Lepisosteus oculatus: one gene and its partners. The protein of the gene in region 2 interacts with the protein of the main gene of each other region in a pairwise test. Links are inferred from orthologs where the notes say so. Each region holds a gene or a part of one and is shown on either strand. Other genes may lie near its edges. The genes, in order: txndc12, klhl2, bcam and tma16.

What was found.
Region 1: the proteins of klhl2 (region 2) and txndc12 interact in binary tests that used the Homo sapiens proteins (3 or more experiments, as listed by UniProt). The two-hybrid records come from large-scale screens. The link is inferred for Lepisosteus oculatus from reciprocal best matches to the Homo sapiens genes KLHL2 and TXNDC12.
Region 3: the proteins of klhl2 (region 2) and bcam interact in binary tests that used the Homo sapiens proteins (3 or more experiments, as listed by UniProt). The two-hybrid records come from large-scale screens. The link is inferred for Lepisosteus oculatus from reciprocal best matches to the Homo sapiens genes KLHL2 and BCAM.
Region 4: the proteins of klhl2 (region 2) and tma16 interact in binary tests that used the Homo sapiens proteins (3 or more experiments, as listed by UniProt). The two-hybrid records come from large-scale screens. The link is inferred for Lepisosteus oculatus from reciprocal best matches to the Homo sapiens genes KLHL2 and TMA16.

Annotation. Positions count from the first base shown.
Region 1 is NC_090704.1:3,618,481-3,626,443, reverse strand, and holds the start of txndc12 (thioredoxin domain-containing protein 12), read right to left. Parts: upstream 3,019-7,963; 5' UTR 2,909-3,018; coding exon 2,821-2,908; intron 825-2,820; coding exon 764-824; intron 1-763. Other genes in the region: btf3l4 (transcription factor BTF3 homolog 4), read left to right, coding at 4,812-4,865, 6,567-6,680, 7,141-7,342. UniProt on the Homo sapiens protein: Protein-disulfide reductase of the endoplasmic reticulum that promotes disulfide bond formation in client proteins through its thiol-disulfide oxidase activity.
Region 2 is NC_090696.1:22,199,509-22,206,358, forward strand, and holds the start of klhl2 (kelch-like protein 2), read right to left. Parts: upstream 3,003-6,850; 5' UTR 2,650-3,002; coding exon 2,582-2,649; intron 1-2,581. UniProt on the Homo sapiens protein: Substrate-specific adapter of a BCR (BTB-CUL3-RBX1) E3 ubiquitin ligase complex that mediates the ubiquitination of target proteins, such as NPTXR, WNK1, WNK3 and WNK4, leading most often to their proteasomal degradation.
Region 3 is NC_090722.1:10,514,302-10,521,911, forward strand, and holds the start of bcam (basal cell adhesion molecule), read right to left. Parts: upstream 3,009-7,610; 5' UTR 2,837-3,008; coding exon 2,770-2,836; intron 1-2,769. UniProt on the Homo sapiens protein: Transmembrane glycoprotein that functions as both a receptor and an adhesion molecule playing a crucial role in cell adhesion, motility, migration and invasion.
Region 4 is NC_090696.1:22,441,384-22,448,739, forward strand, and holds the start of tma16 (translation machinery-associated protein 16), read right to left. Parts: upstream 3,012-7,356; 5' UTR 2,987-3,011; intron 2,125-2,986; 5' UTR 2,087-2,124; coding exon 2,084-2,086; intron 1,428-2,083; coding exon 1,318-1,427; intron 1-1,317. UniProt on the Homo sapiens protein: Involved in the biogenesis of the 60S ribosomal subunit in the nucleus.

The DNA of each region.
Region 1 (7,963 bases), on a different chromosome or scaffold from region 2:
TTTGGAAGGGGTAAATATTTAAAGATGTCTATCCTGCAAAGATCGACAGTGAAAATGAAAGAAAGGGGACGTGGGTGGAAACTCAGAAGTTGTGCATTTAATAAGTTGTTGCAGGAGTCTGGAACAAGCTGCCCAGCCCAGTTGTGGAAGCCGATACCCTTGAATGATACCTTGTATTGCTCTTCTACTCAATATTAAACAAGGGGTGAATGATGTTTAGGTTTATACAATAACTAGAACTTTGGTATTTTTTGGGTAAATGTAGTACATAACTTATATAGTTCTAATTAAATAATGTTAGGATATCTAATTTGAAGTGTAGGGTTTAATTTGAGGAATTGGATGCCAAACTTGTACAACAATCAACTAATACCTCATTTAGAATATTGTGTACGATTTTCTTTCTTACAAAAATAAATATTGCTGCTTTGGAATCAGTCCTCAGAAGAGTGACCAGATACATTCTCAGACTTAACATGTGCCACGTCAACAAGCTAAAAGAACTAAATATTTTCGTCTGGAAAGAGAGGATGTTACAAAGGGGACCAGACCAACACAAACCAGCAGATCACAGTGGAAACAATGGGGGAAAAGGGCCTGTAAAATTGAGAACATGACACACTTCTTCACACAAAGAGTGGCGGGGGTGTTGAACAAGCTACCCTGCCATGCAGTTGAATCCGATACACTGGCTGCGCGAGATCCTGGGTCCAATTGGCGACTATATGCCGAACGGGCTGGCTGGGGCGTCTCAGGTTCTTACCTAGCATCTGCTTCCCTTTTGCCATCCTCCAGACTCCTCCAGTGAATATTATCACCAAACCCTGCAGAACAACAGGAACAGCGGGATCATCCCTCTGCCAGTGGCGGAGTTAAGCCGACACAAGCTCAGAGGGAGTTTTACTCTCTTTGGTCTTTAAAAAAAAAACAAAAGAGTAGCCAAAGCATCTAGACTGGAATGAGGGAAAAAGTTCTTCAAAGGCTTCAGTAAGATGGCTTTGACTGATACCGTAACCATCCCTTGAATAGAATACCAGTAAATGGCTTTCAGTGCACTGTGCGCCATACCAGTTACCTCCTCCTGTACACTTGTTAACAGACAGCTTGGAGAATTCATTTCAGGAGCTATTTTAATAGTTTACTAGGAAGATCAAACCAAAACCGCTAACAAGAGTCACATACTGCACATAAAAATGCAGTCAGTGGGGAAAAACGCGCTGAAAGTGCTTCTGAAGATATGCTTCCTTCTTTAATGAACTCAAAGAAAGCAAGAGGAGGTCTCTCAGAGTTACAGTGATGTTTTAGATTGAGGCAGCATTGAGGAGTAGTGTTGAGGCCTCCGGGCTGCTCACTGTAAGGTAGTAGTTTCAGTTCCTGTGCGAGGTATTGCTGTTGTACCCTTGAGCACAGAACTTCCCAGAGACTTCTTCAGTAAGAAACCTAGCTGTATAAATAGGTCATTCTGTACTGAAGTGTCAGAAGGACAAAGTAATGGCAATGAATATCTTTCATAACCATTGTTCTGTTACTACAAAACCTGACTGTGACAGCTCCAGGTACAACAATGATCTTATTCACTAGCTTGACCGGCCTTTAGTGTTTCGCGACACTCCTAGTCTTATATTTCAGTTTTGTATATCATATTGTATTCTGACAGCAGATTACCCATTCCTCTCTACAGAACAGGTTGCCTTTCCTGCTGTGCACGTATTGTCAGGACTCTCTTCTCCACTGGCTGCAGGAACGAGAGGAGGCTTAAAACACTGAGGAAGAGGACGTAAATGATGAAGGACCAGTGCACAACTGGCAGCGCCAATAGGCACTGCTTTCGAGCTTTCCTTTTACCCAAGCTGGTTAGTCCCTCATGGAACCTACCTTTCCTTAAACTGTGATGGCTAAGCTCATTCCACTGGTTTTAGAGTTTTCAGCATATTCACGGGAAATTAGAAACCCGCAGGACAACTGCAATGTGAGGAGCAGGTCAGTGTGCTTAGGTTTTGAAAAAGTTAACAATAATCCAACAAAAATGCTCAACAACGGCCTGCTCACGTTTGTAACCGTTCTCATGTCCTAAATGAATCTGATTTACCGTATTAAATAAAGATCAAACCGTCTGTCCTAGAAAGTCCTAAGAAAGTCCGATGACCTCCCTTCATTTATGGGGAATTGGAGAATCACATGAATGGCGAAGTTTTATTGTAGAAAACAGTACAAATGGAAAAACAAAACCGTAGCATTTAAAAGGAGATAACCTGATATATTTTGCAGCGAAACTACTTATTTTTGACGCAAAGAGAATCGGATTTCCATTAACAGCACATTAGACAACACTTTTCGAACTTAACTTGCTGGCATTGTCGTGGAACCTCGTTTGCGTAAACGATTTGTTACAAATGTGTAAACGTATCCCTAAATACTTTCGCAACACTGTAACGCATCAGCCAGGCCAATAAGGATTTGTGAGTGTGATTATGCAAGATAAAATATTATTTTAGTATAGTACATGCGAGCATAATAGATATTTCACGAAGGATTTTATTTATACACCAGAAAACATGATTAGTTCACCTCTTCAGTCTCAAATGAAATCTACATGCTACTACTGTACATGGATCTCACTAGTAGAACTGCAGTATGAATTTCACGATTTTCGGAGATTAAATAACCATTAACTAAAAAAAACAGTTCGTCCCTCTCTCTCTCTCACCCACACAAGGTTCACAAAGATTTCTGTAACAGACATGCAGTGATGCCTTCAGTGAAACGCGCTGCCGACCAACATGAATTCAACATTCATCACCAAAATATAGCACACCTCACCTCTGCCAAGCCCCTCTCCTGTAACCACAGAGAGAACGACCAAAAAGCACAGCACAGTAAAATTAACCAGCGGCATCTGCATCTTCATTATGAGTTTCAGATTTCGGTAAATATAGGACTCAACCTTGTGCCAAGCCACCAAAACAAAAAAAAAATCCAACCCCCCACCCCCAGCGTAATTTTACTCTCCTGGTCCGACCTCATCGAGGAAGTGACGACAAGCTGCTGGCTCGGTCTGCGTTTTTTTGTAATTAAAGGGATCGTAAATATTTCACCTCCATTTTCCATACAGGCGCACGGCAGTGCTAAGCAGAGAAGAGCACGTTTCCAAGCCGCCGTCCGGGGGATTGCCACTCTATCTTGAGTTACTTTTGAGACGAAAAACTATTCCAGCAATATTTTTGTATATTATTTAAATGAAATAAAAGGTAGCACTCATATACGGTTGCTTAAAGGGGAATTTTAACCTCCTCTTTTATATGTGATCAAATATCTTAAACTATTAAACTCAACGTTCAGATAACAGTGTTGTTGTTAATTGCTATTATATCAGTGCATGGCTTCTATGAAATAAAACAATCTAAAATTCTAGCAATGGACGGTCTATTTTAATATTGGCTACAACATGTGATGCGGTTGGCAATATGTGAGAGCAGTCAGCGATGGGATGAAGCAACAAAATACATATTTGGCTAAAATATTATTGAGCAGTAGTTTGACGTTCCAAAATTATTGTATTATTGAAAATAATTTGTGATATAATTTAAATACAATATTATAATTTTGTGATATTTAAGGAATTATTAAGTGTTAAAAGTCATTAAGTAAAACTACTGTTACAGAATTTTCTATCTAGTATACTGAATTATAAATTATTGTGACCACCGGAAGTCGTGCCGGCGGACTGTTATTTACTGCGACACCGCGACAGCCCTCTCTTCCGCCAAGGCGGGGGGCGGGGCCTCTGGCCGTCACGTGATAGCGGACGCAGGTTCTCCCTTAGATCCGCCATCTTTCGTCGCCGCGTGTTCCTGTCTCTGCGTCTGTGTCTGGATCCCCGTCAAGAGAGAGGCCATCTCTGCTGTAGTGGTGCAGAGGGGACGGAAAATAGAAAAACAGTAAAAAAGGTGCGGGGAAGAAGGTTACCGTGCGAAACGAACCCATAGAATGTTGTCATCTTTTTTTCCCCGGCCACAGTGTGTGGACAGTGTGGTATTTGCTAATGGTAGCCTGCGTAAATACTACTGTGTTGGCTGAAAATGGGCCTTAGCGTTTATTCGTAAGAAATTGAAGTGCTGGCATAAACCTGGAGCTGGATTTGTGGGTATTTTTGTTCGTATGTGATACTAATATCGCGTATCAGAACAAGTGGGCGCATTCTTGCTGGGTGTGCTGGTCATTTTAATAAAGGCACGTTCATTGTGACTACGGTGTGTGTGTTTTATCTCGTACGCTAGGCAGTGCGCCGAGGGCAGAACCCAGTTGCAGTTTCTCTTTTTTTTTTCTTTCCTGATCAGTCAGTGTGTGCTGACATGCCCGTGAAAGAGCGAGGTTTTATCAAGGCGCCGATTAAATGTCCTCTTGTCGTTAACACGTGTTTTTATTGACATTTATGTCTGTCCCTTCTCGTGTGAAGTGGATCTGTTGGGGACAGCCTTGGTTTTTACGTGAAGGGTCACTATGATTATTCCTGTATTTTTTTTTTCTGCATCTAAACCGAGTTTTAGGTTGGAAGCTCTTGATGAATGCTGGACCTAAAAAAGGTTTTTAAAGCACTTAAGTAAAACTCAGTTGTCCCCCTGCAGAAGAAAGTAAGTTTGAGGTTTTGACTGAAGTTCTTAAAAACTCCGGTACATGACTGTAACTTAACAGCTTTATTCACCAGCTGCCTCTCCTGTGCTCCGTCAGGCACAGCTGCTGAGTGAGGTACCAGCTCTTTCTTGTAAAAGTAACAGAAGCTGCTGTGTTCTTTTTGTGTTTCAGATAACGCTATGAATCAAGAAAAATTAGCCAAGCTTCAGGCCCAGGTTCGAATAGGTGGAAAGGTAGGAGTCTTTTTTTTTCTCACCCCCGATCTCCTCTACAGCTTGTCTTTGCTATTCAAAGTAGTAACAGAATAAAATCCGGTCAAGTTATCCCTCTCAAATGGCTTTCATTAGTACAGTTATTTTGAACCGTATGTCTTGTTCTTTTGTTATGTACTTTTGTGATTTCTTCCCAAAAGAACAAGGCAGGTCCGCGGCAGTCACATCGCTGACTAGCGCTTCTTCAAGAACGCAAGGTCACAAGCCAGGAGGCCACCTGGCTTGTTTAATTGATAGATGAGGACTGAGTTCTGCTTGCTGGCGGACGGTCTGTTTTGACACGCTGTACCTGTAAACCCGTCGATAAAGCCACACCAGGCCTGACCCTGTCAACTTCCAGCTCTAGGGGCGTTGACCCTGCCGGTCCCAGTCGGGATCAGACGATCTCGAACGGTTGATCGTGATGAGAAGCCCTGCGTTTACAGTCCACTCTAGGTTGGATCGGCAGTGCGGTTAGCCCCGAGATCAGTAACTCAGTAACTCTCCTGGTTATACAGTGTCGTGCTGCCAGTCAATGCAACACCAGCACATGGAGGCCAGGTTTTACTCGATGGGCATTCTGGGCGACATTTCTTTTTGCCGTCGGCGGCAACATCGGCTGCTCGACGCTTGCTCGGTCTGAGCATTTGCACGGGATCAGACCGCCACGTGGCTGAAGCTGATACTCATGGCTTCCCACGAGGAGCGGCCCCGTAGGATCCTCATGGCTTTAAGCTTGTAACTACAAAAGGGACAAGAGGGGCCGGATGGCCTCGTCTCGTTTGTAGCCTTTCTTGTGCTCTTAATGACGTCGGTCACGAGTGAAGCTGTTCGTCCCTCTTCCTGGGAAGCCGGCACACCCCTGAGGAGAAGGTGCAGTCCGAGGCAGGGTTCACAGTCATTCACCCTGCCGTTCTGGGAGTGGGGTCAAGGTCTACTGGGGTTGATCGGATGAGAATCAGAAATGGCCGTGTCAGTGAACCTGTCGTTCTGTGACTCATCCATTTAATAGTCTTGCGGCTTTGATAGAGCTGAGCATCCCTTGATAATGGCGGATGAAGGGGATGACTTTGAAGCTCACCCTCCGGTCAGTGGAGTGGGACACGGACCCGTTGAGCACTGTTTGGAGACCCCTGTTATTTGCCGCTTGGTCAAAGCAAAGGGGTAAAAAGAAAAAAAACAGCTCTTCGTGCTGTCCACACAGGCCCTAGTTCTGCTTGCATCGGCATTCCTTTCATGGTGGTGTTTGGTTTGTGCCATTCATGCAGGGGCTGGTGGCTTTTACCAGCTCTGCGATTTCAAAAGGACAAGAGGCTCATGTCCCTCTACTGTCCCATCTCTTCAAAGCCATTCTGTAGAAGTTCGTTTAGTAGTATGGCTTCTAGCAAATTTTGGACTCTGGGTTTTGGGATAGATGATGGAAAACATCCAAGGGTTTAATTTAAGCCAGTTCTTCCAGGTTTTTGATGAAAACCTATGTTCTTTGTGATTAACGGGAATTGGCTGAAATGTTAGCTTAATCTCAAAGAGAAATGTTGTCATTCTCTTGCAGTTTTGTTTTGGTTATTCATTGCTTTCCACATCCTGGATCCTCAAAACTGTTCCTGGCTTCCTCCACTCCTGTTGTTTTTGTGCGCGCGCATGTGTGCCTCTGTCCCACGTTTTCTCCTGTTCGGTCTGCAGGGAACAGCGCGTAGGAAGAAGAAGGTGGTACACAGAACAGCAACGGCTGATGACAAAAAACTTCAAAGTTCTCTCAAGAAACTGGCTGTGAACAACATTGCAGGCATTGAGGAGGTGAGTAACCTCATACAAGCCCAGTGTCACAGGGTCTGTTTCATTGGACACCAGTGTAAAGTAGCGGTGAGGGATCTGGGCTTGTATTGAGAAAGTTGTGGGTTCAAATCCTGGGTGAGGCACTGGAGTTGGACGTTTTAGCATGGCACTTCACTTGGGTTGTTTTTGTAGAACGCCCAGCTGTATAAAATAGGTACAAAGGTAAGTCACATTGGATAAAAGTATGAGCCAACTGATAGTTATGTACTTAAGGATCTTCTGGCCCTTTCGTGATCTGAAACAATCTTGAAAGGAGTTCCTTAACGTGCGCAAAATAGCAAAACCACTTCGTTTAGCCTGACTGTCTTTAATGTGGCATGTGAAGGCAGATGTTGATAGTAAAAAGAAAAGACCCGGATAGCAACGCGATTTATCCCCCCCCCATCGGGAGCTTGTTCTGATCGGCGGGTTGTCTCCGCAGGTGAACATGATCAAAGACGACGGGACCGTGATTCACTTTAACAACCCCAAGGTGCAGGCCTCCCTGTCTGCCAACACCTTCGCCATCACCGGCCACGCGGAAACCAAGCAGCTCACAGAGATGCTCCCGGGCATCCTCAGCCAGCTGGGCGCCGACAGCCTGACCAGCCTCCGCAAACTCGCAGAGCAGTTCCCGCGGCAAGGTGTGTGTCCTGCAGGTGATTGCAGGTCAAGGGATCTCGAGATGCCCGCTTTTGTTTTGATGAGTGATGTGTGCCGTTTAAGGCTGTTGCGGTGGCGCAGTGGGTGAGCATTGCTGCCTCCCAGCGCTGGGGCCCCCCCTGAGTTCAATTCCAAGACCCGGGGAGCTATCTGGGGGGAGTTTGCATGTTCTCCCCTGGTTTGCTTTGGTTTCCTTCTTTGGGTGCTCCGGTTTCCTCCCGCTGTCCAACGACCTACTGGTAGGTTAATTGGCTCCTGAGAAAAGGGGGCCCGGTGTGGAAGGGTGTGTGGGTGTTGGTCGGTGTCTGTCTGCCCCGTGATGGATCGGCGTCCTGTCCAGGGTGTATCCTGCTTTTCGCCCGTTGCTTGCTGGGATGGGCTCCAGCTCCGGGGGTGCAGCCAGAGGGGAAGCACTAAATATGGCTTTGCCTCCCCAGCTGCCTCTCCATTTTCGGCGTTACCTAAAATCCTGCACCGTCATCAATTTACCCACAAAATAAAAAGTAAATGTAGGAAACAATTGACGCATCTAAGCTGTTTTTTCAGAGAGCGTACACGTAGCCTCTGTTAGCAGGGGTCGGTGTGGACCGTCCCTACGCCGC
Region 2 (6,850 bases):
TGCCGGCCAGGGGATACAAACCGGCAACCTTCCAGCCACAGGCAAAGATCTTTAACCACAGAGCCACAGCACCGCCCAATTGTCCAAGGGACAATTTCTATTCCTAAATCAGAGCCAATGTTCAAGAACAACTGGCTTACATAATCATACTATATTTACTATAGGCAAACTGTGAACAACCAACACTTCTACAATGATTTCTTTCATAAAGAATGAAAGACAGGTTCTTGGGGTTTCTGCCCTTGCTGCTCCTGCCCTGCCCATTCGTCTCTCACTGGCTGGGCACAAACCTGGGTCTCTGGCATCACGCAACAGGAAACTTGCCAGCTGAGCTAAAGGAGACCTCCCTCAGACCGGGCAGCTGAGATCCCTGTTATACACAGGGGTGTATGTGTTACACAGACAATAAAGATAAACACAGAATACAGTTAATGTTACAGTCTCAGATACTGTTACTGAAACGTTTTTTCACTGCGTTTTCTATTTATTAATTTCATATTATATTAAGTTATGAAGCATTATTGCAGCAGAGAGACTACAACACAGAACATCAAAACTGTTCTGCAAGCAGCAGTTATCAAATGGCACAGAGCATGAGATGCAAGCCTTTCATGCCACAAATTTCCTATGTATTGTAATTATCTGGTTTTCCTAAGTTCAGTTGCCAAGTTACAGAGCTTGAAAGGTTCCAGGGACTTTCACTTCACTTCAAAATGTCAGGAACAAGTGGTGGTAAAATAAGGTTTCAAAATTGATATGGGAAAAAACAGAACACAAAAATGTTCATGGCACCTCTGTGTAGCTATAGTATGATGGTTTAAAGAAATGTGAATTCAATGAACACAATACAATCATTCCATGGCCTTTTCAGTGTCTAGTCTGGTTGGTCAGTCATGTGTGCCAAATTAAGGGATCTGTGTCATGATAACAGTGCTGAGTAAAAGGAAATATAAAACTTCCATTGAAATACTAAGCCCCAGTACAGTATTGACTTCTTCCTACTGTAACCCTGAAAACAGAAGTTAAACCATTTTCAACATGCCTGGTTTGTAATCTAAAATTTTTAAGTCTGGTATTTCAAAAAATAACAGTCTAAGAACAGCTTTATATGAGACAGTTGTTGGCAGACATGCAGCAGGCAAACATAAGCTTTTACTACCATAAATTAAACAATTTTCTATAATTACCCTTTGCTTTATTCATGTTCAGAACAAACAGAAACATCATTAGAATAAATTAAATACTATACGTAGACAGACTTAGTCAACAGAAACTCCTAGCAAAGTATAAGTGATTTTACAGATAAAGTGTGACCATGCTCTAAATAATTGTAAATAGACACTGCAGTCTGTAATGTGATGACTGAATTCTCGTGAGAGATCGTCATTGTCGACTTATTGTTCTGAAATATAATTACTAAAGATGACAAGAAGTCTGTTGAACCACATTATGCCATTGCATTATTAAAAAAAATGAACACCCACTTTCAAAGCCGTTTCATAACATTTGTACTAAATGGTAAGAAACACGGTTGTGTTAGTGAATCTGGTTTAGAGTATTTAAGTACCTTAAAATATGTTATTTTCAAACACCGCCATTCTATAATGCAGATATCACGTACTTAAAAACCAGCAAATGATTTAGTAACCGTTAAGAAAAAAACATCTGGTCATTTGCAAGAAACAATTTTGCTGTTTCTTTACCTTTTGTTTTTTTGCGTTTTCTCTTACAACGAGATGCCAATCAAGCATTTTAACCAAGATAATGGGGTGCACTTTACCTCATTCCCAGTTAATACAGCCATAGTTCACGACCCCTCAAATACATCAGAAATAAACATTACAAATGCATAGGTTTCTGTCATGTTGTTAAAAGCCATTATCATCAGTGCAGGCATCGCTAAACTGAATTGATGACGTTTTGCTAGTTACTAGATTATTAGATTTAGCTAGGGAAAAAATCATTTTTAAAACACTGCATCATATTTCTAATCTTTAATTTAGTCTGCGACGTGTACATGGATGTAGCTTATAAGGGCTAGTCAGACGCAGATGAAACAAAATCAAATTAGTTTCTTTAAAAACAGTTTTTAACCGATTCATACTCAAGACAATCAAAATAATGGAGAACAAAATTCATTAATGTATTATTTTTTTGCACAAAAAAAAGAAACCCGACTGCTTTAGATTTCATCAAATAAAACAGTATTGACCAAGATGGAAGAACTAGAATGTTTACAACATACAACAGCATTATTTCCTTATTTCTCTCGTTTGACGGGATTCTTAGCGCATAACAGATATACCTATATTGATAACACCTATATTATTCCTATACGATGAACGTAGCCTAATGGAGCGGTCAGTGCCTTCCGGTCTCCCGGGGAACAATACCACCCCACACTGTTACATCGCTGTATTTATACAGACACCGCTCTTATTCGAGGGCTCGTCAACAAAACGGTTATAGCACAGACCCGTCTGGTTATCTTAACGCTTGTATTATTCTGTATTCAGCTATCTTTAACCTGTTTTCCGAGCTTCACCGGTGAAACGATGGACGTTTTACACCATACGCTTACATTGGATGTATCTCCATTGTGTTGTCTCTCTTCAGAACGCGGGGAGTGAACGCGGCGGCTTGCACCATTCCATCGCAGAACCGGGTCTTTTTTTAAATAAAGAAATGCACCGATCACTTATATTTTGTGCCGGTGGAAGGGGTTCCAATCCATTTCGATAGCGTCCTCCTAATTCGCACTCATTCTGCCGGGCGATAAATCGCGTGTCATTCAGTCTGCTGATATTCAAAAGTGTTCAGCTGGAAGCAGTTTCGTATTCCGCTCGCTAAAGCACTGCAGCGAGAAAATCACGGCAGACAGAGCGAAGAGATACCATCCAAGTCACTGATCATATTGAAGAACACAAAACCAAGGTACAGATGCTACGAGCAGCACAGTGAACTACCTGTTATTTCCTTCAATGATTAAAATACACAAACAAGGATATATCAGCAAAGACCGTCTTCAGACAGACTTGTTGAGAAAAAACAGTAGCTCCCCCTGCTGGTGGAAGACTACCAACATGGAAAACCGGTCAAAATTTTTCAACTTTTTTTAAACAGTACTACACTACTTAAACCATTCCTCCCGCACCTCGTTCAGGAGCTCAGGTGTTTTCTGGTTTTGTCCCCAGTTCCACAAGCCATTTCATTTCTGTTTTCCATCTGAGGCTTGTTTTAACGTTTTCTTTCTCTCTTAAGAAAGTGATTAGGATTGTAGTTGGTGTTACGAACTCAATACACATTTTTTTAGTTTCGGAGTTTCTCTTATTCTGGTGTGTTAGATGAACTGTGATTGGCTGGACCTCTGAGAAAAGGAAAAAAAAAGTTTACCTTAGTGTTTGATTCATTGTCATTCACGTCTGTGTCTGTGAATTGATCACCTATTAAAAGTTGTTCAGGCACAAATAAATGTGTAAGCTCTTAATAAAAAGTTGAGTCCCCCATGATTAATGTATTTAAGTAACTTATGCTACTAATCTTTGATTATGTAAGTATTGCAGCTGTTTGTAGTACTGTGTGCTTATGTGGCCTATATTGCCAAACATTCATAACTGCAGTGTTTAGTTTTAATAAGTGAACACCAGCTCTAAAGACAACACACCAAAATAGGTGTTTATCAGCGGCTGTCTTGTCACGACAGCAGCATATGGGTAATGATAGCAATAATCTCAAGGGGTTTTCACGATGGTACTGTTTAAAGTCTACTTGTTGTCCAAGAAAATAGAACACATGGAAGATATTATCCAACAGATTCTAACGTTAGCAGGAAAGTCAAGATTCCAACACCAAAACTGAGAGACTTAAGTCACTTACAGTCAGGTGTGTGTTTCATATTGGTGGTGGTGGAGTGGAGTCCCCCTTAGCATTATAGGCTCTATATAACTTCTATATTATTATTATTATTATGATTATTATTATTATTATTATTATTATTATTATTATTATAAATTGAAGTGGGATATTGTGATAACTGTGGGTTACATTCCAATGAGCATTGTGGGCTGTTCAAACGATTTGTTATTGCCTTTACTTCAATTAGTTGTTAGAAGCTAAGCAATCCAATAATCTTATCCAACCATATTTTCAAGGAAGCTAGGGTACCAGCTTCTCCAGAACGACTAACATCTCATATTACAGACACCTGCTGCTGTTCATATAAAAACGTTCCCTCTGTGATATTTTAAATGTATCGTCCCATAGTTTCCATTTCTATTCTATTATTCATGTTTCACTGTCAAATTCTGAAGAAGTGTAAGAGGTATATTTTGTCAATGCCTTCATCGATATGAATATTTGAATCAGGTTCCCTCATAATCTTCGTCGTTCGATACAAAAAGATTAAGCTCTCTTATTTTGAATGTTAATGATTTTGATGTAAAATATCAAGAACAGTGGTCAATGGATATAGATTCTTGTGGTATTACTGATTATATCGCAATATTTTTCAGCATCTACCACTAACTGACCACTGTCTGAACTGCATGCTTTCTATCAGTTAGATGCTAACTGCTAGTTAAGAATTACAGTTTTATGGGGAACTTTAAAGCTTTCTGAAAAATTAAATATACTACATTGTTGCAGTAATGGTGGTTGCTGAGTTACACTTTCAAATTAGCTTGTGTACAGTTCTCATCTTGATTGCCTTATTTTGAAGGTTTGGAACAATAGATATTGTAATCCTGTATTTAAAAAGCTGTCGACTGGCCTTGAGACATGTAAACAGAGCAAAAGGTATGGATCACGAAAAATGAGACCTTGTAATTAACTAAGGTTAAACCAAATCACTGTTAGATCATTTTAAACAGCTATATTAAAACAGATATACTGATTTAAGGAAGCTGGAACAATCAGTGAGGCCATTGAGACAGCCTCCATGAAACAGGTTTGAGAAACAGAAAGAGGAAAGGATAGACATCATTACAGAAGCTTGTGCTGCGAGAGAGTGCCTTTCACCAATCCCACTTGAAACCAGATTCTGTCCAGGTAATCTGAATGCCGAAAGATTACAAGAATCTGAGCATTATAATACAAGAGAGTTTGCAGGCATATTTATTTGGAAATTCTGATTCCATTTATGCCCGTGAGCACAAATTAAGAGAGGAAGATTAAATCCTGAACTTGTTTCAAGATGCAGGTTTTCTCTTTTAAACAAAAAAATGTTTTGTGTTTTAAGATTATAGGGGCAGAATTCTGTATGCCTGTAGATGACAGGGCTCTGAATCTCACAGAACTGTACATAGAGTGCCAATAGTACTCAGACAATTAGTGATCACAATTCATTACTTGAAAACTTGTTGTCGTGTCACTTTAAAGCAACAATTGATATGCCACTATCTGTGGGGAATATAGTGATTCATATGGTTTCAGAATAAAAAAGGTCAGGCAGTGAATTTTAAGCACATTTTCAGCTATGAAGACACCCTTTCAAAACAACTCAGGGATACGGCTGTAGAAAGGCGCAGAACAAGAGATGAAAATATAGAAATATAGAATAATATCATATTCTATATTTTCTATTTATTTCTATAGAAATATAGAAAAATATCAAAGAGACTACATATCCCTTTGAGCACAGTGAAGTCGACGACTGTCTAGGTGAGAACTGAGCAGTCGGACAAGGAGGGAACTAGTTAGGTATGCCACTGTCAGGCCAACAGTGACTGAAAAAGTTACAGACTTCATGTAGATATGATTCCATGAGACAGAGCTGGCTTGTATGGCATATTGGAAAGAAGGAAGCCATTCTTGCAAAAAGAACATTTCAACTCCTTCACCTAGTTTGCAACAAAACACTTAAGTGATACTGTAAACAAGTGGCAAAACGTGTTTTGTGGCTAAACAAGACAACACTGCATCATTTTGGTCTACATGCAAATGTTACATCTAGTGGAAGGCCAGTCAACACCATCCCTGCTGTTAAACTTTTTGGTAACAATATGATGTTATGGGTCTGCTTCTCTTCAACAGGGAATGATGGAGAAAAACTGGGAGAAACAGGGTGGAGTGAAGGACAGGCAAATTTTAGAGGAAAACATGCTTCAGTCTTCTGAAGACCTAAAACGACGATGAAAATTCACTTTTCAGCGAACAACCCCAAAACACAATACCAAAGCACACCGTAGTGGGCTAAGAATAAAAGAAGTGACCCAATCAAAGTCTTGGCTTGAAACCTGTTGAAAATCTGTGGAAAGACTTGAAAAATGCTATTTGTAAGCTAAATGCTCAAGCACTTTTAAGAACTTGAGCAAATCTACCAGGATGAATGGGCAAATTTCCCCACCTTTGTCTTCTGATGAATGTCTTGGCTCCATAGTTCCATAACTGGAAAATTGAAAAAAAAATCTATATAATCAGTTCTAAACTGACAGAGCTAACAATGCTGACAGTTTGTACATAAATTAGGTGCTCAAAGAAATTATTCAATTGCAAAAGTGTTCCTCCTCTTTGCTACAATAGCCTTAAATCAATTCGGGAGCTAAAGGATAGTTTGAAATCCTACAAAGTTAGTATAATGGTCTCTCTGTGTGTGGAATCAAAGTGGAAGCTGACTTCAGTGTAAATGCATCTGTCTCTATAAGTACTCTTAGGTACAGAAGATATTGATTTTGAAGTCACGATATTGCGGTACAACAAATTGACCATGAAGAACAAGGCGATTTCAAAACAAATCAGTGCTGAATTTATAGAGAGACAAAGATCAGGAGCAGGTTACTTATCATTTTGAGTACAGCGAAGTTAACTAGTTTCAAATAGCTTGACAGATCTGGAGCAATTTTGCCAGAAAGAA
Region 3 (7,610 bases), on a different chromosome or scaffold from region 2:
CTCACAGAGAGAGAAAAATGTTTGTTAAGCAATACGGGTTATCAGCCGTCTCTCCTCTGAGGTTTACAGGCGAGCCCGATGAGTAAACAGCTCTAAAATAAGAGAGGGGTTGAAAACGCGATACGCAGACCGCAGGCAGGATCAACATCTGAAACCCGCGGTTCCTCGGAAATTCATTTTCACAGGACGTTTCCCAGTAACTGCGCGACCTTGAAAGAAAACCTCTCTTGAATTAAGGACCGTGTTGTTAATTAATTCAATCTCTCGCCAACTTCAAAGGGCGGAATCGTTGTAGTGTCACGACGCATTCCTACTGCGGGGTGTCGTTTAAAAAAAATAATTGAAAGATGATTGAAACCCGGGGCGACTAATGCTGAGATAATTACTCCAGGCAGGAGGTCCGACTTTGAAGGGAGAGGGTACCTCGCGTGAACTACCGGACCCCCCACGACCGGCCTGTCCGATCGATTCTCTCCGCCTCGCGCTGAAACCCCGGAACCCCGGAATCCGAGAGGAGCCCGTGCGGCCGTTGGGATTGTGGGATCAGTCCCACGCGCGAGCGTGGAATAGACACGCAGGGGAGTGTCAGCCGCTGCGGGAGCCGGCGTGGGCTCGATTATTGTCGATGTTATCGATGCGGTCGCCTCCGACTGTGCACGAACAGGGCTGCGCGTCTAATGACCTGCTGTGCAGGGCTGGTGTAGTGGCAACAGCACTAGGAGTCGTGTTGTTATCTGAGTGCACGCTGGTTTTCACAGGACGAGGTGTTAGAATTAATGATAAACAGAATTGCGCACACTTGTATAGCGCTCCACTCAAAGCTTTTCACAGGGCATGGGGATCCCCTCCACCCCCACCAGTGTGTCCCCCCACCTGGATGAGCCAGTCCGCTCCCCACACACCAGCTCTCAGTGGGGAGGAGAGCAGAGGGATGGAGCCAGTTCAGATTATTAGGAGGCCATGACTGGTAAAGACCAGGGGGGAAATTTGGCCAGGACACTGGGGTAACACCCCTACTCTTTTAGAGAAACACCCTGGGATTGTTAATGACCACAGAGAGTCAGTTTGCAGGGTGACACAGCTGCTGAGTGACAGAGCTGCTGTTCTGAAGTTCTAGACTTCATTCCTAAGGTATCGTGCATCAGTCCTCCTCTTCCTCTCTCAGCGCCGTACAGACGGAGACACGCTGAAATCCCCCTCTGTCATTAACAGGGCCTGTCACAGCACGCACACACACTCCTGGAGCGTGGAGATGAAAGAGTCTGGAGAGAGGAGGGGATGGAGACAGAGAGAAAGGTAGCATTTTGCCAAATTCCTTTCCTGCTGCACAGCGAGGCACAGCGAGTGCAGTGTCCCGGGTGAGAATCACAGCCTGCCAGCACTGCTGCTGACAGCACAGGGAGTCTTCCACAGTTTACCACAGTGTGTACTTCACACAGCCTCTTAGTAGACCAGTTTACCACAGCATTTACCACAGTGTTATAGTGTTTTACAGTATATACCACAGTGTACTACAGTGTGTTCTAGTGTACTACAGTGTGTTTTGTAGTTTGCTACAGGGTGTGATGGTGTATTTCAGTCCAGTTTCACAGCAGTCCAGAAGCCTCACCCGAATATTCCACCACTGGACCCATCCCTGCGCCATGGGATCACAGCGATCGATCAATCAATCAATCAATCAATCGCCCTGATCGAATCCATCAGATGAAATCCGATCGATAGTGGAGCCACACGCTCAGACTCAGCTCATCTGCGCGCACGCGAGTGCCGGCGTCCCGCCCCGAACCCCGGTTCCGCCGGTCCGAGAGCACGTGCGAGACCCGGCCCAGACGCCCGGCACACAGCGCGAGGGAGCAGGCGGCGCGAGGGCACTGACAATGACGCAGCAACGGCGCTGCTCGCGGCGATTCTTCATTCAATTAAAGAGACTGTTTTCTGTTCCGTCCTGTTAGTCCCACGCACAGGGCAGTGCGCTCTCTTCATCCGGCACGGTGAGCCCTGAAACACCAACCGGGGGACACCCGGGGGACTACAGGGAAGAGCTTTAAAACCCACAACAGGGGGCGCTTCTTTACACAGAGGGCGGTGGGGGTGGGGAACAAGCTGCCCTGAAGCCGGTAGCCTGGCTGCTGTCCAGGCGCAGCTGGGCGAGGCTCTCGGGTCAACCCGGGCTGGGTCTCCTGCGCGCGCCCCTCCCGCCAGGCTGTGCCCGCGCGCAAGAATCTGCCCCCCCAGGCGCGAGACACCAGGCGACCCCCCCCACCACCCCGCTTGTCCCGAGCGGGGATCGTCGGCAGCACCTAACCAGGGACCCGGCCCGGCCCAGCAGAACCACGCAGCTGTGGCGCAGTGCACACGGCTCGGGAGTCCCGGGGTCCAGTTCGGGGAGAGGAGTCCTGGGGTCCAGTTCGGGGAGAGGGGACGAGTCTGACGGCGAATAAAAAGTGTTTGATGGGGTACAAGGGGCACGAGGGGAGACGCCCCCTCCCCATCTCCCCCAAAACAAACACGGTCGTCCGCCCCCAGCAGCGACGGCACCTGCCGGGCGCACCTGCCGGGCCGGACCGAGCCGAGCCGAGCCACCCCGGCGGGAGACGCGACCAGACGCGTCCAGACTCCCAGCTCGAACTTCTCAGACACACGCGAGACCAGCACGAGTGGGCGAGCGGAGGTGAAGCCGGAGTGGGAGTCCTCGTCCTGCCCAGACAGCGACCCGCCCGAGCCCGCCCGAGCCCGGGACAGCGGCTCCAGAAATAGACCGGCTCTTACCGTGCAGCGCCCACAGCAGCCAGGCGCAGAGCGGCACAGCGCGCCCGAGCCCCCGGAACGCGTCCATTTCTCTCCCGGTCCGGTCCGGTCCTGTCCTGCTCTGCTCTTCTGCTGCTGCTGATGCGGTCCGGTTCGGTCCTGCTCTCGGCTCGGCTCTGTGCGTCTGTCGCTCTCACTCCCTCGCTCTCGCAGGGCGCAGAAAGATCTGTTGCGCCGCGCTACTGTGTTCGCCTGATATACCAGCACAAAAGGTGACTCCCCCACTCCTCCTCCCCGGCAGGCCCCCCCCTCTCCCCTCCCCTCCCCCCGCCCCGCTGTGGTGGGGATCAGCGGAGTGAAAACACAGCGCACGGGAGCGACCTCGCGGCGCCTGCGGGCGAAATCACCGCGAGCGCCGTCCTCGCGGGCCGGCCCGCCGCTCAGCGCAGGGGATGCCGGACCGCGCGCTGCAGCAGCAGAGCACCGCCGTGTTCGTGCCTGCTCCGTCCTGTGCCCGGGGCTGGGCTGGACTGGACTGGGCTGGGCCTGCAGCTACGCGATTGCTACTGCAAGCACTGTGATTGTTAATGGTGTCCCTGCTGTACTGGTCCTGTTAGTGTCCCTGCTGTACTGGTCCTGTTAGTGGTGTCCCTGCTGTACTGGTCCTGTGAGTGTCCCTGCTGTACTGGTCCTGTGAGTGTCCCTGCTGTACTGGTCCTGTTAGTGGTGTCCCTGCTGTACTGGTCCTGTGAGTGTCCCTGCTGTACTGGTCCTGTGAGTGTCCCTGCTGTACTGGTCCTGTTAGTGTCCCTGCTGTGCTGGTCCTGTTAATGTTCCTGCTGATAATCTACTGCTGTCACTGTTCCTGCTGTAAGCAATTCTACTGTTAGTAAGCAACTGTACTGTGAGTGTCCCTGCTGTACTGGTCCTGTGAGTGTCCCTGCTGTACTGGTACATCCAGTCCATACATACATGATAATCTGCTGCTGCTGCTGTTCCTGCTGATAATCTACTGCTATTTCTACTGTTACTGCAGCCACAACTAATAATAGTTGTATTTTAACAAACATTCCTGGGATTGTTGCGGACTGATGTGTGAGGCTCACGAGCTCTTGAAGAGCCTCACCAGCTGTGTGCTCACAGAGGCAGCTGTCGAGCCGCCCAGAGCCCTTTCAGCTCGTACGGATTCGTGGCCGAACAAGTGCTGTGGACAGGGAGGGAGAGAGAGGCGTAGACCAGCAGCCAGACCCACTCCCAGGCTGGAGGAACTGAGTCTCTTCAGTCTGAAGGGAGAGTCCCACACTGACAGGCTGGAGGAACTGAGTCTCTTCAGTCTGAAGGGAGAGTCCCACACTGACAGGCTGGAGGAACTGAGTCTCTTCAGTCTGAAGGGAGTGTCCCACACTGACAGGCTGCAGGAACTGAATCTCTTCAGTCTGAAGGGAATGTTCCACACTGACAGGCTGGAGGAACTGAGTCTCTTTAGTCTGAAGGGAGTGTCCCAGGTAGTGTTGTGGGATCTGAGCAAGCATTCACAATCTTCACAATTACTGGCAGTCAAGCCGGCGGACGTCTCCAGATCAACAGTGAGACATGAATCACAGAACACAGGGGGAAACTACAGAGAAGTGCTGAAAACAGGAGATCGATCTTTACACAAAGGGTGGAGGGAGTGTGGAACAAGGGAACAAGCAGCCAAAGGAGCTAAGAGGTCTGACCGGCCTCTCGTCTGCGGGCGGCTGGTCAGGGGTCAGGGGTCACTCACAGCTGCAGGCCAGCGGGGTTCGTCCACAGTGGCCAGTCAGACCTCAGCGACATTCGTCCTTCGGTTTCCAGACAGGTGCCGGCTGTGGCCGTGAAGGTGACTGGCCGGCGCTGGACGACCGCTGGCCGGTCCAGTCCATCACAGGGCTCCATCTGGGAGGGGGGGGAGGAAACAGGCCACGGGGGACCCCCCAGTCCGGAATCGAACCCGGGATCAGTGCGCTTTGAGGCAGCAGTGCTAACTGCCACTGCAGTGAGCCACCCAGACAGGTGAGGGAGTGGGACGGAGAGCAGGGGGGCTCTGTGTGACTGTACTGTGACACCCCCGTGAAAATAATAATGCCATCTGAGCTTGGAGATGACATGGAGGCTCCTCATCCATTATTCACACGGATTCTCATCAAACACCCTTAACAATATTCCTCCTTCATGAATTCCCCCTGTCCCCCTCTCTCCCCCTCCTGCCTCTCTCTCTCATCTGTCTCCGACACCCGAGGGCTCTTTCTCCCTCTCCCCTCTCCATCTCTTCTCTCCCCTCTCCACCTCCTCTCTCTCCATCTCCCCTCCCCTCCTCCCTCGATCTGCTCTCTCTCCTCTCTCCTCTCCCCGTCTCTCCCCTCTCATGTCCCTGTCAATCAAACTTCAAAGCAGCTGCACCACGCCACCAGCGGCCAGAGCACAAAGCCGCGATCAGAAGGATCGCCCCCTGCCAGCGCCGGCCCAGCAGTGACAGGAGTCGCCCCGTTGGGAACCCCAGCAGAATCACAGGCGGCTGCTGCAGAGCTGCGTCCTCCTCTGATCCGCACGGCTTTTGTTCACACTTATTACTCGTGTGGTTGGATTGTGGAAATATTCTCTGGGCATCAGCGCGCCCGTCCGGACGCCAGCTGTGTGGCGCGATCTGTCTCTCTCTCCACTTCATCTTCACACCCAGCCAGTGTCCTGCCCCCCTCCTTCCCAAACTCCCCCCGGGCCACTTCCAGAACCAGTAGACCAGTCCAGGCCCAGCTCCTGAGTCAGCTCATCAGCCGCAATTAACAGCACGATTACCCCCATCTCCCAGCCATTACTGAGAGACACACACTGGTACTGTAACACTGTGTAGCCACACACACACGCACACGCACACTGGTACTGTAGCACACTGTAGCCATCAGCGCACACACACACACACTGTAACTGTAACACACTGTGTAGCCATCAGCACACACACACTGTGTAGCCATCAGCGCACACACACACAGTAACTGTAACACACTGTGTAGCCATCAGCACACACACACTGTGTAGCCATCAGCACACACACACAGTAACTGTAACACACTGTGTAGCCATCAGCACACACACACTGTGTAGCCATCAGCACACACACACACACAGTAACTGTAACACACTGTGTAGCCATCAGCACACACACACACTGGTACTGTAACATAACACACTGTAGCCATCAGCACACACACACACACTGTGTAGCCATCAGCACACACACACACACTGTAACTGTAACACACTGTGTAGCCAGTGTGACCCATCTGCACACACACTGGTACTGTAACACACTGTGTAGCCATCAGCACACACATACTGTAACTGTAACACACTGTGTAGACACACACACACACACTAGTACTGTAACACACTGTGTAGCCAGTGTGAGACCCATCCACACACACACACAGTTACTGTAACACACTGTGTAGCTAGTGTGACCCATCAGCACACACACACTGTTACTGTAACACACTGTGTAGCCGCACACACAAGGAATGTAGTGTTCAGAAAGCCCTATAGGAGTGTATCCAAATTTGCAAAAATGACTCACAATCCAAAAGTCAGCATTTTTGAATGAGTCCTGTAATGTGTCACGGAGAGAATAAAGATCAGTATTGTGCTGCTATAAGGTATTGATCAAATACTTCTGGAGACTTCTGGCCATCACAGAGGACAGTCACCACCCTGGGCATGAGCTCCGAGAGACTTTCTGTAAGAATTCCATTGTACCAGTACACGTACCGGTTACATACGGCAATCAAGTTCAAGTTCATCGCACTGTGATTTACTGCACTATACTGGGCTTTTACCCTGATCTCACTGGGCTTTACGGTTGTGTACTGTGCTTTTATACTGTAATTCCCTGCACCGTACTGTGCTTTTACCCTGCTCTCGCCGTGTTAATTCGCTGCACTCCCAGATCAGTTCTATAATCCAGCGGAACTGGTGGTGCCGAGAGTCCAGAACACGTGGCACGCGCCGGCCCGGTCGGGTCGGGGTCAGGACGAGCGATGCGGTGTGCTCTTTGTCCGCGTGCCCCTCTGTGTCACTCTCTCTTCTCTCACTCCGGTGCCGTGTTCCCACACTGGGCACATGACGCCCGCTCCGGAAACCGCACGGTCTGTGACTCAGCTTCGCACTTAGTGATGTCACCGGCGCTGAATCGCCATGACGTATCGCCCGAGCGAGCGGAATTTACCGATATCGCACGACCGATCGATATTACGCTGCTCTCTCCGGATTCTAGTAAAATGTCTGAAGATACAAAATAGTAGGAATAATATTTATAAATATTGAGCAGTTCTGATTAAGATATAGTGTTAATGTGAGGCTACAGAGGAGCTGGACTGAGTGTCTCTACAGTGACTCTCCAGCTCTGATGATGATGAAGGAGTGTTAGTGTGAAGATACAGAGGAGCTGGACTGAGTGTCTCTACAGTGACTCTACAGCTCTGAGGATGATGAAGGAGTGTTAGTGTGAAGATACAGAGGAGCTGGACTGAGTGTCTCTACAGTGACTCTACAGCTCTGATGATGATGAAGGAGTGTTAGTGTGAAGATACAGAGGAGCTGGACTGAGTGTCTCTACAGTGACTCTACAGCTCTGATGATGATGAAGGAGTATTAGTGTGAAGATACAGAGGAGCTGGACTGAGTGTCTCTACAGTGACTCTACAGCTCTGAGGATGATGAAGGAGTGTTAGTGTGAAGATACAGAGGAGCTGGACTGAGTGTCTCTACAGTGACTCTACAGCTCTGATGATGATGAAGGAGTGTTAGTGTGAAGATACAGAGGAGCTGGACTGAGTGTCTCTACAGTGACT
Region 4 (7,356 bases), about 240 kb from region 2:
AAAAAATGAAGGCGTTAATAATGAAACCTATGATGGTTATAATAATGAAATGAAAATGCTGCCCATTTGTTTTTTTTTATGTACAATTTACATAAAAGCGTAACAACATTTCTCATTTCTTAATTCAAGTGAGAAATGTTTACAGGTGGGAGAATAAAAAACATTTGTGACACATCCCTTAAAATGACAACTCAGGTCCAGAAATAACACCAAGTTCAACACATTTGCAAAGCTCATGGGGGAGCTTAGGAGCACAACTTTAGGTTTGCCACAGCTTAGCTTGAGTTCTTTTGTATTCATTCTTTTAATATCAATGACCCGGTAATGTGCAAAATCCACAGCGGCAGTATCTGATCTGCTCTGAAAATAATTCAGTCACCATGACATCAAAACTCATGTCCAGGATGGCAAATAATTACACCAAGATGCAAGACGAAATAGTAAAGACCCCAGCACAAAACCTAAACGTAATAGCATCAGTTTTTAAACAGCCAAGATTAGATTTATAAATTGCCTCTTAGGTAGTCAAAAAGGAGCCAAATCAATGAAGGAATACAGAAGTGATACATACATAATGTTCCCAGTGCAAAGGCTGTATCAAGCAGTGTCAAGAGCTGCACTTAGGTACAGACGTAAATGAATATGCAGTGACCTAGAGTGGGGAGCAAATCGTTAAGTAATTTAACAAGGGCTGTTCCAATGCTAGGTCTGTCTAAATCTGACTGAAAAGGTTCAAAGAGTTTAATACATGTCATTTGAGACTGCAATTGTTATAAGTGTTTTGCTGTTAAATAATTGCTTGAAGGTCTTACAGTATTCAGTAGAGGGAGCAAAAGGACATGAATTAACCGGTTTGAGTATTTATGAAAATCTTATTAGACTGGGAATTCTGCTGTAACATGGTAGTTTAATATAATTTGAGGTCTGCAAAATGTTAACCCAAATTTTGACACTAGAATTCTTTTTAAAAAGTTGCCTGATTCACATTGAAAAGACTGGTCTGTGATGCCTTCGATACCCAACATCAATGCATGTGATCTTTACTGGTGGGAGAAAGCCAAACTAACCAATGCACTATTTACATTTTTCTGAGAAAGGACATTTTACATACTAATGTAGTGCATCTTGCTTATTAAAACATCATAATCATGTGGAAAAATAACCCTATAAAAAGCTTGGCATATTCTTGTGGAAATACAGGAAGGAGACACACATGCAGGTCTCATGGGTCGATGGTATTTTTCAATTATTGTATTTCTTTGCTCGCTCTTTTTCCAAGAGATCAAAAGCACTATGGAATCCGCCAGGTGTTCTTACCTTTCCTTCCTTTCCTGTTTGATAACCCCTCTCGCTATCTGAGCAGCCTTTCTGCTGTAAGGGTGAACAACCTTCTTCTCCGCCGCTCCTTTGCCTTTGGGGGCTTTAGGCTAAGACACGGCGGTGTGAAACAAGTGTGTTGGTTAGTGCTTTACCCACTATGACATACTTACACATATATACAATGTCCAAAACATTAAGACATATATTAAAGGTAACAAAAATCTTAAGGGAATGCTACTGAAAACGCTTCAACACTTAATAAAATTGGAAATTTTCTCTTACGTACGATAAAACAGAAACCCCATTTTAGGGGGACTAACATTAGAGATAAATGTCTGGATTATTCAGTTGTGGAAAAGGGTGCCTTTTCTGCACAATAGTACTTGATAGAGATAGTTTACATGTACTGCAATTGAACACGACTAGTGTTCACTTGGTGTAGTGCTGGCTATCAAGGAGTTTAAATTAAAATAAAATAGGCATACGTTTTTTATTTTTACCTCGGTGTATGTTACCTTGAAGCCATCTCAACATAAGGACGTTATTATATCAACTCTGCATTAAATACAGATATCTATATATTGATCAGACAAGTTGCTACTTAGAAGTAACATCAAAAGTAATCGACATGAACAGATATTTAAATTTACAATTTAAACTAGAACTAGAGAATGTTAAAGGGAAAAATTATTTAATCGTATAAAATGCCATCACTCTGGTTTTACAAGTGAAGTTACCTTATGATATATTATACAAAACTCACCATTTCTGTCAAGGAGCTGTATCCCACGTGCCCAACTCCGTCTGTGAGAGAAAACGGAAAATGGTACGACAATATTTTTCTTCCCCGATCTCAGTAAACCGCAATGTGATGTTCCGGAGAGAATGAGTACAGTAAACCTCCAGTTTAACGGACTTTGGATTTAAAGAACGAAAATTGCTAAAGCAGAATAATGTCTGTAAAATCAGAAAAACCTGACTTGACACGCAACAACGATGAAATGCACAAATGATAAAATATCGTTAAATGTTATACAATATTGAAATTTATGATCAGCATTGGTACTCTGTCGGGATAGGTCAGTTACATTGCCATGGATATTTGTTTCATTTGCTTTAGCGATTTTTATAAACTTTGTATATACGATACAGTGGAAAGGATCGTATATTTATGATAATTAATTTCAGACAGTGATCCAGTAAGCACACATACATAAATTCTCATATGCGTTTCGGCGTTGAAAAAAATTCATTCGTGATTTAATGGACATACAGCAATATCGGTAACCCCTTCCCTTATATTACAGTCCTTTGAAAAGACGGGGTGTTTCGTTATTAGAGATGGAATAGACTGTAAACGTGATTTTTTGCTTATATATGAAGGAGGTTCACACTAGCCTTTACTGAAATTCCCATATTCATCATCATAGCAACAATTTGTTTTTCACATTGGTGATAATAATAATAATAATAATAATAATAAACTTGTTGATCCACACGTCAACACCTAAAGGAGCATCTTATCATATAAACGAAATTATATGTTTTTTGTCTTCCATTTACTCTACGGCTTCACATTCCTAATTCTTAAAAAAAAGGTACAGTAAATCCTCGGTTTATTCCGGTATTGGAATAACGATGCAACAAATGCCTTTTAATTGTTCACCTTTTCCACCTTACTCCCTTGCCCATAGTAGAAATTTAATCGCTATGAATGTTACTTATACAGTTAACTCTCGGCTAAAACACCTGACTACCACAGGTGAAACCATTAGAGACCTGGACTGGACCCGTAGGACGTCACAATAGATAATGCAGTTCAGCAAGTAGAAACACTAGAACTTAGTAGAAGAACTAGCTCTGTGTGATTACGGGGGGAGTGTACAGTTCTCTTAGAGGTGCAGTGTTCATGAGCCATTGAGACCTACTGTACACAACTAGCCAGTTTTCTAAACCTAATCTCTGCAATTTGTGTAGCAGTCGTGCTGAAAAGAGAACAAAAGGAAACAACGTTGTTTCAGCATGGAATAAACCTTGGTCCTTTGCAGGCTATGCATGCTGACGCAACTACCTGCATGAACTACTTATAGTGAGCTACAGGGAGTTCAAAATAAAGTGTTCATGTGGAAAAACTGTTTGGCTTTTTCCAGATAAATAAATAAGATAAATAAGTAAATGATCTGGCAGAAACATGGGTCTGGAGAGACAGTATATTTCATATCTTATACACCATATATTTGGAAATATGTTTGTTAAAATATATTATGGTAAATATTTATTTCATTACATTTTAAATATAATCTTATATCTATAAATTTGAAGTAAATATATTTTGCATTATACTGAAAGATATGTCCACACATTATGTCTGGTATATTGCAATATATTTCATTTTCATAAGGGAGAACATAGTATTAGTTATTGCCTGCTACCAGGAATCAGAGGACAAGGGTTACAATTACAAAGTGGTGAGATATGAATAGGTGAGACACAGAATAAATGACAAAAGGAGGCATTTCTTTTACACAATAGGTTGTAAGATGTTGGAATAAGCTAGCCATTCAAGTTGTAGAAGCCAATAACAGTGCTTTCTTCAAGAAAGGACTGGATAAGATCTTTATTTGTAAACTCTCATTTATTCTCCACTTACTGTAGTTAGCTACTAGCAATCAAAATATGTACTCTGGTTTTCAACCTTTCTTATGTTTTTATTACCAAGGAAAATGCTGAGCTAGGACTGAAAACTTCACAGCTTTGATTATTAATGTGTCCTCATTATTTGTTGTTTTTTTTCCCTATTATTGAGTATACTGTAACGAACGGCCGACATACAGGTTGTACGAGCCGGTTGCAGCGCGGTGACGGCACCGCCCTCTCCCCTGCGCATAACAGAGATGTTGGCCGTCCGGGCTGAGCTCAGCCGGCAATATCCCTGTTGAGCGACGCCGGAGACCCGGGTTTGATTCTGAGGCGGAGGACGACTTGGGGCAAGAGCGGTAAGGGCAGAAACCCCAAGAACCTGAATTCGCTACAATACCTTATTCTGAGGCATGATTGAATTTTGTGTGTGAATGCTTTTTTGTAAGGTCTGGATTAATTTGAGTTCAGGCTTTCTCAGGAACTGAGTACATTTAGGTGTAAATACTGCACAGGTAGGCATTGGTATCTGTAGGTTTAGAGATCCCTGTTTACTGCTTGTTTTTTTATGTCAGGAGGAGACATCCTGACACCCTGCAAAGGAGAGGGTTGGTTTGCCAGCAGCGTTAAAAAATTCAGCAGCACTGGACCTGGAAGTTATCTAAAGGTTATCTGATTACTCAGTCTGTACAGTTAAATCTTTGGCCAGGGAACAGGAGCAGAGCCCTGGTCAAAAGGATTCAGTTCTAGACCATCCTTCCCCATATTTCTTCATTTTGTATGTGACAAGTTTCTCATGCATATATTGGAGGCTGGCAAAAGAGAATCCTGAGCATCAAAACAAGTTTAAGACCAGCTTCAGCACCTACCCAACTACTTGTCTCCATATGGAAAACACATTTTCTTTTCTGTACTGATTAATTTTGTTTTCTGTCATGATGCTCCCATTAACCCAGCCTTCCAGCATGGCCCTGGCAAGATTGCCAATCCGTTAAAACCAGACAACAGTCAGCAGGTGAAGGGGAGATGGAGTCTATTTCCAGCCCAATTCACTGCAATCAAAAATAAGTGTCTAACACCTGTACTCACTCGAAGCTATTTTCTTCAAGGCAGATGGAAGTAAAATGTGAATTAATTGAACAGTCTTATTCACTAAAGACGTCATTAAGTAAGATGTCTCATAAATGAAAAAGAAAAGTTCACCTCTGCACCTTTTTTTAGAACAATTTGGATCAGTGCCTGTCTGATGTCTGATTACTTTGTAGTTTTTATGCAGAGTTTCATCAACTACTACTCAATTATCTTTAAAAGCCCCCATTCAACATGAGTGAATTCGTCTACAGAAAAAGACCAATCTGTTTCATGGGATAATTCACATTTCTGGGAGTCCTAGTTGACTATATTACCACCTATTACAATTCTGTATACACATTTACATTTACAAAATAAAGATACTGTATTGCTTTCTTGTGAGTGTAAACACTATATATAATCTCCATTTAAAATAAAAATGAATGGGAAAATGGAATATGCTTTGCAAACATACATAACTATCACTGATCAAAGATAATTTAAGAGCAATTTTCAAACAGAATTTGACCAAATGAAGTTCTTTAAACACTATTATTTATTATTAAATATTATTTAATAAATGTAACAGTTATGTATTATCAAATACACAGCTGAGTATTTCTCAACACTGAGAAATGTACTAGAACATTATGAAATAGAAAAAGTGAGTGTCACATTCCAAGAAAATTCTTAAGAGAGTATAGATTTAATCCTAAAATAACTACAGCAAATAAAATAATATGTGTCATGATTTAGACTGATGGTGGAGGGTCTCTGCACAATCTCACATACAGTAGTTTGCTATATAAAGGATGTGCAGGGTTTGTTCATTTAAGTCTATTTCTTAGTCTTGGGACAAAATGTCTACAGTGAAGACTCTGGGGTTCCTCTTTCTTGGCATATAATCTGTTACTATGATTAAGTTACTAAATAACATTTAGATATAATTTCTTTAATGTCCTAAAATCCATGTGTTTTTGCAGAAGGAAAATCAACTTTGTACAACATCAAGAAAGAAAACTTCCTTTAGGGATGCTGTAATGAGAATTCAAAAAATGAACAATTGTCAAAATCCTGGATAAAAACAGGTGTCAATTTGGTGGGTGGAAATGTTTTGTAAATATGAGCATAATGTACAAAATCATGAGGATGTCTTAGATTATTAAAATTAAGTGTCATGAACTACTGAGAGTCCTGCAGGAACGTGCCTAAGGATATTGCACCTGTAGTCATGTATAGAAAGTTCTGTTGTATATAATAAATTTTACTCAAATAAAAGTTTAGCCAACTTTATTATCAGAAATGTAACAGAAGGCAACCATACTACTTTTTGAAATTCTTGTATGATGCTTTGCATAATATGAAGTTTTTACGACACACCCAAATCTTCTATTGAAAAGAAGTGCCTTGGTTGTACAAGATATACTGTATATTCTGCAACCTTTGGTAGCCACCTGAATTCAGGATGCCCACACACTGTATGTTTAAAGAACCTACTGTATACTTCACAGTGTTGTGTCTGTGGGCTACAAGCAACTTTCATCTAATTTTGTTTCCGGTTCCGAATGTCAGGTGCAAATATTTTGTTTCTTGTTTTAATATTCTGTCAGTCAGCAAGAGAATGACAAGATTTTTCTTTCATGGTAATGTTGTATGTCTGATACTTTGGAACATTCCATAATATTTAATTTATTATACTTTTCAGTCTTCTGAAATGCATTTTTATTTGGCTCACAAGGGATATTAATGATTTAATAAAAGAATGCTTTGATTAGTTGCAGCAGAGTTCACTGCATTATTGAAGAAGTAGGTTATCACAAAAGTAGAGTGGTATACCAACTTTTGCCATCAGCCCTGGATCCTGCTCTACAAAGTATTCACCCTGTGAATTCTACAAGTAATTTCACAGGATAAAGGCTCAAATGGAATTTAAATCACTCCTTAAGTAGTTGTTGTTCAGGAGAGGAGTTTATAAAGGAAATGGTGAGAGAAAGAGACAGTCTACCTTTGGACTCAATGGAGTGAGTGTCATGATCGTCATCCATCCTCTTAAGGGCGCTCCGACTCTTTTGTATTTTAGTTCATTAGGTGCACTTGCTCCCTGTTTGTCCGTCATTATTAAAGGCTGGTGCTCTCGCTATTCCTGGCTCAACACTGGAAGATGGACGCCACATGGCTTGCCTATTCCCCGGTCTCGCGGGTAGCCCGAGGGCAGGCCTTATTCCCCGGCATCCTGGCCATCTGAGCCCGGGGCTCAGAGCGCCTGGCCTCATTATTCTATTTTAACTCCTTGTTCCTGTTCCGGTTCCTGTTCTAGATTTTAACTTT